2 linked regions of the Daphnia pulex genome follow. The protein of the gene in region 1 interacts with the protein of each later gene in a pairwise test. Links are inferred from orthologs where the notes say so. Each region holds a gene or a part of one and is shown on either strand. Other genes may lie near its edges. The genes, in order: hexokinase type 2-like and uncharacterized protein LOC124190201.

Evidence for each region.
Region 2: the proteins of hexokinase type 2-like (region 1) and uncharacterized protein LOC124190201 interact in a two-hybrid assay, tested with the Caenorhabditis elegans proteins (2 studies listed by BioGRID). The link is inferred for Daphnia pulex from reciprocal best matches to the Caenorhabditis elegans genes hxk-1 and ZK829.7.

What each region holds. Positions count from the first base shown.
Region 1 is NC_060018.1:5,020,901-5,027,366, reverse strand, and holds the start of hexokinase type 2-like, read right to left. Parts: upstream 4,392-6,466; 5' UTR 3,405-4,391; coding exon 3,315-3,404; intron 2,839-3,314; coding exon 2,676-2,838; intron 2,165-2,675; coding exon 2,079-2,164; intron 2,008-2,078; coding exon 1,954-2,007; intron 1,888-1,953; coding exon 1,693-1,887; intron 1,616-1,692; coding exon 1,302-1,615; intron 1,215-1,301; coding exon 1,059-1,214; intron 989-1,058; coding exon 712-988; intron 398-711; coding exon 305-397; 3' UTR 1-304.
Region 2 is NC_060019.1:10,429,309-10,436,100, forward strand, and holds uncharacterized protein LOC124190201, read left to right. Parts: upstream 1-2,233; 5' UTR 2,234-3,405; coding exon 3,406-3,437; intron 3,438-3,611; coding exon 3,612-3,771; intron 3,772-3,845; coding exon 3,846-4,096; intron 4,097-4,163; coding exon 4,164-4,559; intron 4,560-4,630; coding exon 4,631-4,931; intron 4,932-4,996; coding exon 4,997-5,116; 3' UTR 5,117-6,760; downstream 6,761-6,792.

The sequences.
Region 1 (6,466 bases):
ATATTCATAAGATGCTGTTTATATGTACTGATTGCGCGAAAGGAGGGGGGGGGGGGGTGGCGCTAGATGTGTGAGTTTGATTGAGAAACATTCTCTTGTTATTAGTCAAGAATAATCGATTCCTTCGCGCAGACGACGCCGCATTCCCATTTTCGTTTGTGTTGGTTTTGAAAATATTTTTCTTGTAAAATTGCCGTCACGGGGTATTTTTTCTTTTTCCAATGGCCGTTACAGGTGAAGGGGGGTAGTAGAGGGAGGGTGTTGGGTTCAGAAGGGGGAAAAACTAAACGATATTGGCAAGAATTCACCTAGCCGCCAGACTACCTATTCGGACGGCCACCGCGGCCACCAACGCAGCACCTCGACCACTTCCATCCTCCGACAACATCAAATCGAACTGCAATTATTCAAAAATAAAGAAACAATTATTAAAACAGGAATTATGTTGTTTTTAAAAATAAAATGAAAAATGAAAAACAACAAGTCTCTGCTGTCTATCGCTAGAGAGCGTCACTGACAAGGAAAGAAAATGATTTGTTTTGTTTTTAAAAAACAAAAAATTGACAGGTTTTTCCTTGTTTTCGTCTCTTGTTTTATCGAAGAGTTCATCAACTCGGAAGATTGTTTTTTCTCTTCATTTCCAAGTTGATGATGGGGAAAAATTGATAGTGACTTTGTTATTGTGAGCCTGCGGAGGAGAGACTGACTCACCGTTAGTCCGGGATTGATGAGCTGTCGGATCTTTTCAACCATCAGATCATGGAAGTGAGGGTGGAAGCGATAAAGGGAGCCATCAACGGCCACCGTCACGTGCTTTTGACCCATCTTGTTGAGAAGACAAGCCACGGCTGCAGCGGCGATGTGGGCCGCCCGTCGAGAAACGGCCTCGCAAATGTAGCGCACGTTGGCGCAATCTTCGTCCGAGGCATCTTCGTAGCCCAACTCTTCCAGCACCTGACGACAGCACGTGTATTCACCCTTCTTGTCACTGAAGTAAAAAACAAAACAAATTAATTTGTAAGTCATAACAATAAATCAAAGTGTCCAAACCAACGCACCTCTCGATTTCAGAGACGTATTTCGTAAAGAACTGGCCCGGTTCGAATAACACTTCTGGGCCCATGCCATCAAAGAGAAGTCCTTCTCGTGTCAACTGGGCTAAAACGAGACGAGTCACTTCACCCATGTACATTCCCGAGATCATTTTCTCAAATCTGGAACAGAAAAATAGAAAGACGAGAGAGAACTTGGTCAAGTATCAGGGGCGACGGACGAATTGAATGTGAGCGTGAGTAGCGTACAATTGCCGTCCAGGGTTGAGTGAATGCTGGTCAATGGTCCGATCGTATTCGGTCCGGATGAATTCGAGCGTTCCGTTGTCGCCGAATGCGCCCAGCTCCGTGTTGATGACGACCTGGTTAGGTTCTTCGTAATCGCCGTCCCACAGTTGTACGTTCTCTAATCGCTCCACGTAGCACGCATTGATTCCAGTTCCGAGAATGAGACCGATCCGGCATGCCTGGTTCTTCCAGGCGCAAGCCATCAAAGTCCCGGTCGTGTCATTCAGGACGGCCATCACGTCGATCTTGATATCACCCCGACGAGCGATTGCCTCCTACCAGATTACGTATTTCATTAGCTCATTCATTGGATACAAGTCAATTGATTTTTTCTTTCTTCAATCAAACGAACCTGGAGAAGTCTGACAACATCTTCGCCTTCGACGCCTGAACACTTGAATCCTTTAGTCCAGGTGGCCAATCGGGCCTTGGTTAAACCTTCCTGGCTGCAAGGGAAACTGAAAGTGAAACCCAGGGGCAATGGCGACACGTCCACCATATGCTCGTGCATAAAAGTGGCTAAACATTCAGCGATGTGGTCGAATAACTGCACAGATGAAAAGAAATCAACATCGTCAATTATTTAAGGAATTTGAACTTTGATTTGATGTACCCCGGTTCCAGGACCAAGCATGACACTCTGGGGAACGGCAAAGATTTTCGACTCCTGCATTGACATAAAAGAAACCATTTAACGTGACGTAATCAATCGAAATTATTGACGGAATGTGAACGAACCATGTGAAAGATGTGAGGACCCAAATCGATGAGCAGAACACGAAAGTTGGTTCCGCCTAAATCCAGCGCCAGAAATTTTCCACATTCTACCGGATTGAAACGGTATTAAATTCAAAGTTGAATCAATTACGCAACGCATTGGAGTCAGTATCACGCACGGACACTGACTTGGTTTGTAGCGGCACTACTCAAGGTTAACGGGTCAGTGGCTGCATGCTGCTGCTGCCCAAGACATTACAAACTACAAGCCATGTACGGTGTGATTATTTTAGCCTTGACTTTGAATGAATTTTCGAATTGATTTCCTATTTTCACGAAAATTTAAGGGGTCTCGGAAAATGTTGCTACGCAATTTGGCAAGGTCATAAACTAGTAGACGGTGAACACGTTTCAGCCTCATGCCGAAATGGAACAAAGCCATCTCCTAAAAAATGTTGCAGACATTGACGCTATGCATACATGTAGAGATTTATTATAATGGCAAGTTGGAGAGACGCCAACTACCTTTTTTATTTTATCTTTTGTCTGATATTGCGCAACGCTTAGCGAATACCAACCGAACAAAATCCTAGACGATTAATATTTCATTTGAATTACCTTCGCCGTTGGGCAGTTCCCTGACGTAGGTGGGAAAACATTTGACGGTTGCCTCTTTATTGGTGTCCTTATTGAGTCCTCGGTTGATCTCGACCAGCAATCGTTGACACACGTCGCGTAGTTGTTCGTCCGACAAGATAAGTTCCGCGCATCGCTCTTCGATCTGTTCAATAATAAAAAAAAAGAGAAGAATGAAAAATTAAAAAAGAAACGTTTCATTTTAGCTTAGCAACTCGGCTATTTAGTGGAGTACTCGACGACTGGTTTGCTCTTTGGACTGGAAGATACGATATGACGCAATCTAATCAAAGAGATAATTCTTTCGCTAGGGAATAAATCGATCCACGTGTAGGATCAGCTTACGAACATGAGAGACCTTTGAATTTTCGACGATGGACGCCAAGATGTAAAACAAGTCATAAACTGTCAGATTGGTGGGTTCTCTCTTTTCATCACTAGCGGGAAGTCTCGACTTTGATTTCCATATGTTCGTGCTGCACACAGCCATAAGCTTTCGTATCGATGACCACCATATCCGCCCGATCTCCGTTACGCCATTTTGCCATTAGGAATCGATTTGAACTTTTTGGGATTTTTTAAACAATTTAAAAAAAAGGGTTATTAGGTGCGAACACTTACGCGTCGGGGAACGAGTCGCTGTTTGGCCCGGCTAATGCGGGCCAGCCAGCGCATCAACATGGAACGCCAGATCCTGCACTTGCCCGTCATTTCGTCCGTCAATCAAACAAAAAATCACGTGGGATCAAGTTCGCAAACTTCCACACCAAAGTGGAAGCGATTTGGGATGATGTTCGGTTGATTTCAAAGGAGACCTGGAGCACGACAGACGGCCTGACGATGACTGGTAAGTTGGCAGTTGAGATCGACGAGTTTTTAAAACGTGAAATGACACGGTTTCGTTGAGACGCATATACTATATGCTCTTCTTTCTTTCAATCCCCTTTTTACAACCAGCACGTAGGATCAGTTGACAGTTGTCCGATGATTGGCCAACCACCGTGAATCGGGCGGATTGAATTTCCCACTTTTTTATTTTATTTTATTGCTGAAGCGGTGGCAAAGTGAAGTTCTCCCTTACAGGAGTGCGCAGTCCGGCCGTATCCAAAACCGACACCTTCCAACAACTCGATCCCACTGGATGTAGGCTAATTCTAATTGTTTTTCTGGTGAAACAATAGACAAATTAAACTGTATTTTTCTTTCGAGATATGGTGGTTTGGGGAAGTTGGTGGGCTGACGTGACGTGAAGCAAAAATAAGAAGGGGCGAATCAAAGTGGCGGGGCGCGGTTTCCTGCTGACCGGGCAATATCTCCAGTGAAACTCGGCCGAGTCGTACGAAATCTGATTCTGCGCTACTCACTGGAAAAAAATTTTTCCGACTAGATACTTTATTTCACGGGGGGATGGACGAATGCCTGTCGTATTTCGATCGAGATGGTGGCAGGTCTGGCCAGGATGTTGGACGCTCTCGTTTATATATCCCGACACGTGTGCAAATGAAAATGTGCTGCCGACTGGAACCACTGGGCTGGACGTTCCGCAGAAACGACAACCTTGTCCTGCATCTTTTTTTCCCTTCCCCTGCACTGGGCATTGCCATTTCACACACACACATCCATCATCCTAAGGTGATTGCAAAGACATTTTTTCAATTAAAAAGTTTCCAGGAAACATTTCGCGAAAAGTGTAATAATGATCCTTATCCCGGATATTACAGCCCCAGGAGGAGCCAGTACTGCGCCACACTGACGAATCGACTTTTGTTTTTTCTTGTTCCAGGCCCTTCTACACACTGACAAGTTCCGCACTAGTGGAAAAAAAAGTAGCATCCGTAAATAAGGACAAAAAAAGGCCCACAAATAGGGATCGATCTTGTAACAGCCAAGGTTGCAGTGGCCAGGGAAATGCAGTAGGTAGCGCAAAAAAAAAAAAGAAAAATACCCGTTATAGATGGCTGGATCGATGGCTAAAGAACAGGCGAAGGGCAAAGCGTTGCGCCGGCTGGGAAACGGAAAATCAATAATCCAGTAAAGGTCATTGGCGGACGCCGCGCGCGCAAAAGGGCGTCATGTTCTTTTTCACGTAGACCTTCGCGAATAAAAGCAAACCAAAAATCCCAACGGTTTTCACGTCAACTTCATCTATACTTGTGTGATGATAACCTTGCGTCAGCGCCAGCCTTCGAAAACAAAAAATCCTACTTACCGCCAAATGCAATCTAACCATGTTTAGAGTATTATATGGTGGCTCCTGGATAGGTTTCAATTTGGCAACCGAGATACGAGGGGGAATTTATGATTACCCATTTTTTCCGTGGCGTAATATTCGTTAATCGAATGAAAGCTCTTTTCACGATTGCCATAGTGAATTAAGGTGTGTTTGGCGGCTGCCGGCCGTCAGCCTGGCTAGGTTTCAGTGCGCCCGTTACATGAAATCGAGTTGACGGATTGTGAAATAGATCGATAAGAGCGGTACTAGTGCCGTCATGGCGTCAATACGACGCCGAGTGACGATATGAAGTATTTGATTAATGATTCAGACACGGAAAATTGTTTTCCCATTTTCACTTGCAATGGAAAACCACAAAATTGTACAACTTTTCTGACAAAATTGGGAACACCCCATTGCGGTTGGTTGCCGAACGGGAGGCTCGTCTGACATACTGGGCGGAGTTTTGGTCAAAATTGCATCATCCATTTCTTCGCCAGCGTCCCTGACGAGTATTGACGTTCTCTTTCTCTTTATTTCTACGTCACAGACACACACACACACACTCAAGTCACACTCACACACACCAATACACAAACACGGAGTGTGTGTCAAAAAAATATTGAGGGCGCTCTAATCCATATCGTCCTAGAATACTGATGATCTCCAAGGTTTTCCCACAACTTGGCAGCCTGGCTATTTTCTAGGTAACTCCTGATTGACACAGACACTACGATGACATTTAACTAGAATTATACCTCGCTTCTGTTTGATCTGGGGTTCTCTAATTCCAATTCGGGAAGGTAGAATGAGACGGACATGGGGTCGGCTCGAATTTCCGGACGGTTGGAAGAGGTGTACTGGGGGGATTGAATGGATTTCACGGGAACTTTTTCGGCGTAACTGGGAATCGGCTAACGTCACATTGACAACTGACTATATAAAGGACATTCGATGTCGTTGTTCAGGCCATGAACCTGCCTTGCGCCGACGTCGTCGACGCAGCTCTTGGCGTCAAGAATCTGGATGAGCTCCGCCTTTGCTATCTTCGACCGGCACTCGCGTCTTTTGGGTTCGGTAAGGATCAAAATAGACGCACAAGAGAGGCAAAATGAACGAAAACAAATGCTCCCAATATTGGGGGGGTCATCGAAGCCGCTTTTGAAGGGAAAAATAACAATTCATTTGCTATAGAAACAGTGAATTGATGGCCCAGATGCTATCGGCCAGTGCGCGCGCATCCATCGAAAAACCAGTCCGCTTTTACTGGGAGGGGGTGGGCCAAAAAGGGCATTGCTTAAAATGGAACTCGACTGACGACGGTTGTTTGAATGAGAGCCTCATTATCTTTTCTTGCCACGTTCGCCACGATGATGGTACATCGTCGTCGTATATAATTATCTAGTAATCATCGCCCCATAATTTAAAGGTAACTCGAGGGTGAAATAGGGGATGTAAATAAAGCGTTTTGACGCCATCTTACGTCCAGACAGCCAACTAAACTGACCTTAATTTTCTTCACTCCCCTTTTTGATTCAGTCCACACAGACACATTCTTGTT
Region 2 (6,792 bases), on another chromosome or scaffold:
CATTACAAAAACGCCATTTCTCAACTTAAAAATAGTGCGATGATGCTGCTTCTTGTTTGTCGATTGGAAAAAAAAAAACAAGAACACATTCCGACGGCGTGCCTTATGTAACAGAATGCTTGTTGCCGCCATTTATTTTCAAAGTTTCTCGCTTCATATACTGTGTTTCGAATCATAATTTTATCGTAATGTTCTGTTTCTTTCCAGATTGCCCTATTAATTAATGAATAATACAAACATACTGTTTTAAAGCCATTATCCGTTTCGTCATTATTATTCAATTTCCGGTGTCATGCAAATGGGGATATCCGTTGAGCTATGAGTTTCATCTTGATGTGGATTTAATTGAGTTTCAATCAATCTACTGCTGCTATCAAATGAACAGCGCTGTCCCTCAAAAACTGAGATTACAGCATTCGAATTCCGTACCATTTTGCAAATTGATGTTCAAATTTATTCGCGCGCTCAGCTCGACAGATCGGATTGCGTTTTCTAGATTTGAATCTTGGCCGCTAGATGGTAGCGCTGAAACCATTGTTTTCATTTGTTATCAAGTGATCTATTTACAGAAAGTCAAATTTTAAATCGTAAAATTGATTAGAATAGTATTGTCACATCGCAGAAATTTCTCGAGATATTCTAACCTTAAATTTTAGCGAATTTCTGAATTTAAATCGCAAAGCCTTACCTATTTAGTCAAATGTGAAACTAGTTTGTGCAAACAATTGTTAGAACTCTCAAAATACATTCCTATCGGTAATTTTATTATCTTCTAATAATATTTCAACGCTCGTTTATAAAAAAATACAATTTGTGTTTATGGAAATAACGTAATCGTTTAAGATTTATCTTGACTTCCCGAATGCGGTCATCGGCCATATTTTGGAAGATGTATAGATTGGAAAGACATATGGCCAAAAGAACTAGTATTTTTCAGTGCACTGGTGGCGGTGCCTTGTATCCGGAGCTTCAAAATTTCCCCATTTCTTCCATTTGCTGAGTCGATTGTGATCATGTTGTGAATTCCAGCCGCATGGAGCGCTGGGTGAAAACTAGCAGACAAACGAGTTCGATTCTCTCCGGTTCTATGGGTCGACAAGTTTTCACAACAACAGCACAGATCACGTACCACTGTAGCTTGCAGCAGTTGAGCTTCAGGCTTTGTCGAACAGAATCTCTCCAACGTTTTCATGCAAATAGTTTGTTGCGTGTGCTTTCACGAAAACCAGTTTTTGTCTTGTTATCGCTTCGAGCAGCAGCTGAATAAAGTAGCAGGTAATCTCGTTGTTTTTCTCTTGTACCTAAAACTTCCTTAAATTTAACAAATCTAATAGCAACCAGACGAAGAAATAACCTTGAAACGATTCATTTAACTAATTGTGTTGTTGTTTGTTCCCAAACCACAACGTCCTGAACATTGGACGTCGTTTAATAGTCTATTTTTCTGTAACAAGACACACCTTAGAACGATCTCGTTTAAAAGAAAAAGACCAAGGAAATTGAGGACTGTTGGGTGTATCCATTTTCAATGTGGCCGAAATGTTGATCGTTTCCGCTTCGTATCTAAAATCATAACAAGTCGATGAAATCCTCTGTAATACGAAGACGGTGTAAATTAATTAGTTAAGCCATTAAGAAAGAAGAAAGACATTAATTTCTTTGTCGCTTAACGAGACCAAAGAGACGAGGTGGAGGGAGTAGCCGGGGGTGTGGTGGTGAGCCGATCACGTGCTCGAGTCGTGCTGCGCTGCGTGAAAATGTATCGGGAGAGTTCTAGGACACAGACACACACACACACACCGGCCGGCCCTGCCAGATCTCGCATTTCCTTTTCGTAAATAAAACGAGTCCTCAATAGCGAATAGTGTGTTAGTAAATTGCACGTTGATCTGTTTCCCCATCGTACGTGGGTGTACGGTCATTCCGATGTTTTGAGTAAATTTACAACGGAAACGAGGAATCAGTTAACTGACATCCTCTTATTCTTTTGTTATGTAAAAAAAAAAATAATTCGTATGACGTCATGTTTGTTTGTTGAACTGGACTTGACCGGCGAAGGCTACTGGATTCTTTTTGGTCACATTCCCCAATATGGAGAAGAGAAAATGAAATGAGAGAATTTTTCAAGACTTGAGAGTTGGACAACAAAACAAGACACCAATGGTCTCGACCACTATACTGCGCAGTAGTTTAAAATTCTAATACTATTGCAAAAATAAGAGGAACTGTTTTCGAAATGCGTACGTGATAAACATTGTTGTTTGTTTTAGACCATGGGTTATTATTGTTTTGGTGGTTTGAATCCTAATCTTTGGCACAGATAAACATTGTTTGTGGGAAGATAACGAAGGTAGCAAAAAGAATAGAATTAGATCAACCTTTGCGTCACCGATATATTTTGAATTGTTTAATTTTTAAAATAGTATACAATGTTATGAAGAGCATACAAATGTTGTGTTGTTGACCAAATGTCCGAAAATCCCGAACGCGAAGCCATTTTATTTTTCCTGAAGGTCTTTCGATGTTTGTTTCAGTTGAATGGGTTCGTTTTTTTTTCGGGACTAGTTATATCGTCAACAACTTTGTATTTCTGTATCGATATTTTCGAGTATATCGTCTGGCTGGGACTTGACCCTTTTCGTGCCTCTTTTCGTCACACTGCCATTTTGGATGTGAACCGTATATGGAGTTGTTTACGTCCAGCAGAGAACGTCTGAGCTGAATTTTAAATTATTAGTACACCTGTACCTTGATAATGCCCTTACCATATTTGCTAATTATAAAAACAAAAACAAGTTTGTTACATTTTCAAAAAAAGACAAGAAGAGAAAAACCCAAAGCTTTTGCCATTATGGCACCGAACGAACTGGTACACTTCTTTTTTTTTGCGCAATTTTGCGCAATAGAGTCAATGGAGGTAGGGTAGCTTTCGCCTTTCTCTGCATGAGAGAGAGAGAGACCGGCATCGATTTTCACGGGGCCGAGGACGTACATCAAGAACTCCTTGGTGCTGCTGGTGTTCTCTTTGCTCCTATGACGGAACTACTGTCCACGTGTTCTCAGTGTGCTCGCTTCGTGATTGTGGGGCCCCCCACTTCCCGACCTGGCTATTGGTCGCTGGCGTCGCAGATAAAACGTCACGCAGTTGCGCCGACTCACGACGCCACTCCTCCCGCCCGACCACATAAAGCCAACCTTCAGCTCGTTCACGCCAACCATTATTCTCTGTAAAATCTGACGGAACGCAGTGTGTCTCTCTGTCTCTTGTCCAGCGTATTCAAGTTTCGAAATTAATTGCCTTTTGTTCTCTTGCGATTGTGTGGACGATATTTCATTCTGGTATTACATTCTTGATAAAAAAGAATTTCAATATAGATTTCGTTAAAAACAAAAAATTGTGCAAAAATGCCCGTCGAGTGTCTCATCCCCGACGACAGGTTAAAACTTCTTTTGTTTTGTTTTGGTTTTTGTTGGGTAGTAGCTGCACAGGCTTAGAGAAAATCGATATTTTGGCTTTTCGATCAATCCAAGCAGACTAAAACTTGTATTTGACAAATGCGCAATACCGAAAGCAGCAATTCTTATTGATGGCTTCTTTGTTCTTTTTGTAGGTTGTCGAAATATCCCCCAACAATTCCTTCATCAAGAATGAACAGAGTGTGCAAGCAGGTTAGCATCGAGAGCCCGGCCACGGTCGGTATGAGCAAGGAATACGTCTTCCAATATGACGTCATGGTGCCTGATGTGCCAGCCTTGGGAGCTCGAGTTAAAGTACGTCGTACCTTCCTTTGTTCTTGCACTTCTTTCATCTTCTTTTATTAAATGTTTTTGTTCTTACTTAATAGGTGATGTGTGCTGGAGCTTGTTACCGGCAGAGGTCTGCCAGTGTTTCCAGCACTTCCAGTACTTGCTCGATGGGCAGTGACAGTGGATGCACCACCAGTGCCTCTCATCGAGGACTTCGTGACTCTTCCTTCTATCCAGGCTATGAAGTGGCTGGAGTAGTAGAATCTATCGGTGAAGAGGTCGACCCCAGCTGTGGAGTTAAAGTTGGTGATCATGTCATTGTCTACCCATTTGATGAATGTCCTCCAGGGTAATCAGTCATTTCGACTTTTTTCTACCAACACCTTGCTTTACATGTTTCCATTTTCTCATAATAGCTATGCTGAATATATGAGTGTACCGGAAATTGAATTCCTGGTCAAGATCCCAGACAATATGTCGTTGTCCGTAGCTGCCATGCTACCATCTGGCGCCCTGTGGGCTCTCAACACCGTCCAGAAGGCCGAGAGCGTTGTTCGACGCATCTCTGAAGAGAAAGGACCCGAGGGTAATGACACAACATTCATCAATCACGTTGACAGAATACTCATTTCGTTCTTTTTGCTTTTTTGCCAAACAGGAATGTGCCACATTCTGGTCGTCGGTACCGGTGGCCTGGCTCTTTGGGCTTTGCGTCTTGCTCGATTTTACTTCAGCGAGAAACAACACCGCGTCCATATTGCCGTGGCCTGCCTTCGTGATGAAGGATTTTGCTTGGCTCAGGAATCTGGAAAGTATGTTGCAGAAGCTGATTAAGTGACGCCACGTGGAAGTAATCCTATAATGTTGTCCTTGCTTGTTTTAGGGTGGATGTTATCCAATGGAATGAGGAGCTTTACGAGCGCATTCTCATTGAAAGGACCAAAGATGCCTGCCATGGTCAGGTTGACGTCGTCATCGATTTTGGCACAACTTCGCGCAGCCTCAACCGATCAATCCAATGTCTACACAAGGGCGGCGTAGTTTTTCTCGGCCATGAAACAGCTGATCGACTTTTACCCAAATTCTCGCGCAAGGCCGTCGAATACGGCATCACCATTGAACCCGTCGAAACGGGATCTGTGCAACAGCTCAAAGAGCTGGTTGACCTTGTTCACTCCGGCAAGGTATTTATCAACTTTGATATCTGAAAAGGAAATGTGTTTCAAAAAATTTAATTTCTCATTTTCAGGTTAAACCTCCACCGCACAGCGTTTTCCCAGCTGAAGAGGCTTCTGACGTGATCAACAAACTGTGCAAATCTGAAATTCCCGGCAGGGCCATTTTGCAATTCCATTCCTCAGCTCAGTAAAAAAAAGAAAAAGGAAAACAAAGATTTAAATAAGATAAATTAACGAAAAAAAAATATGGCGTGTAGGGGGTTGTAAAATATCCGCACAGTTGACTGGAGGGTGAAACAGCATCCGTGTAATACCCAGCACATTTTTTTTAATTATTATTATTTTTTCTTTTTCCATTATTATGGCCCACATAATTTGATTTTGCGTTCCAGTTGCGACTTTTCTGTCAATTCCTTCTAATCAACATTCTGTTGTTTGTTTTTTGTTCGGTTGTATTACCGAATGAAGAGCTCTGGCTCGATCCGTCAAAGTGCACTCCCATTCAACCTCTTAATTACTCCATCAACTCAGTGACAAATTCTTTTCATTGTTTAGTAAATAGGCAGGAAGACATTAGCAATCATGGCAGTTGAATTGAATCTTTTCTCTATAACTACCGTTTTACAGTATATCTCTTACCGTTCTTACCCATATACTATTTAGACTAAAGCCCGTATGTACCAGAGTCAGGGACTATACACTTGGGAGACGTAAACTGTTGCTCTTGTGACTTGTCTGTGCGGGTCTAATATAGCGTTCTCACGAGAAATCGCAAGCGGGTCAAAGCCAAGGGAATCAAAAGACAAACCAATTTGTCTTTTTCTAGGGAAAAGGCAATTCCTTGGGATTTGTCTTCGCTCTTTGCTGTGGCAACTGTTCCATTTGATTCATTTTAGTGTATTTACTTTACAATGGTTGCAATTCAATTATTTCGTTTAATTCCATCGTCATTCAAGCAACGATTCAATTGAGAGAAACTCGGTTTACGCGGGTGATTGCGTATAGTGTCTAGAGGAGATGGAACTCTTTGATTTCTTTTTATTTTGATTTTATTTTTCAAAATTCTTTTCTGTTTTTGGGGATCTCAAGTAGAGAGACGTTGATCGAAATTCGGCTCGATAGATAAAGCGTCGACCAGAGTGAAAATTTTAGTTAAAATTGAAACAAAAACAATAACAGTCTGAAAGTCTGAGATGGTAGGATGTAATCGATTAGAGAAAAGCACACACCGGTGAATGATACAACTAGACAATTTAATTCTGATTTTGTTAACTGATGTTGCCCTTCTCTCCCCCCCCCCCCCTGTCCTAGAGAGAGTCGTGTCGACCACCGGCACTCCATTGTTCTTGTTTTATTCTTTCCGATTCTTTGCAATTATTAAAACAAAATTTTTGTCATTAACGATGATGTTATAATCTAGCGTCTGATTTGGAAAAAGGATCGATGGAGAGCAAGAAAAAATGGGATAAATGAAAACCAATGAGTCATTTCTCTCTTAATTCTAGTAGGGGCGTTAACAATTTGAAGAAGAAGAAACAAGCATTTATTAGTTCTTTTAACCAAATAATAACGCTGTCTGAAAAATCCTTAACACGTGAATCGTCTCCCCCCCAATTTTTCTTTGATAGTGAAGAAGAAGAATAAGAATCGTTTCGATCTGCGGATATAACATTGATTGTGATGGATCGTAGATTTATACAAGCCCCCCATCCCGGCCTCCTCCCAATATTTTGCTTTCACTCGTTGATGGAAACCTCTCTTGTTTCCCTCCCCCCTGCCCTGTTCACGTCAGTGTATATCATAATACTATGGAATAAAGTGACATGTTTCTTGCACACACCGTCATTTTGAATCATATGCTGAATTT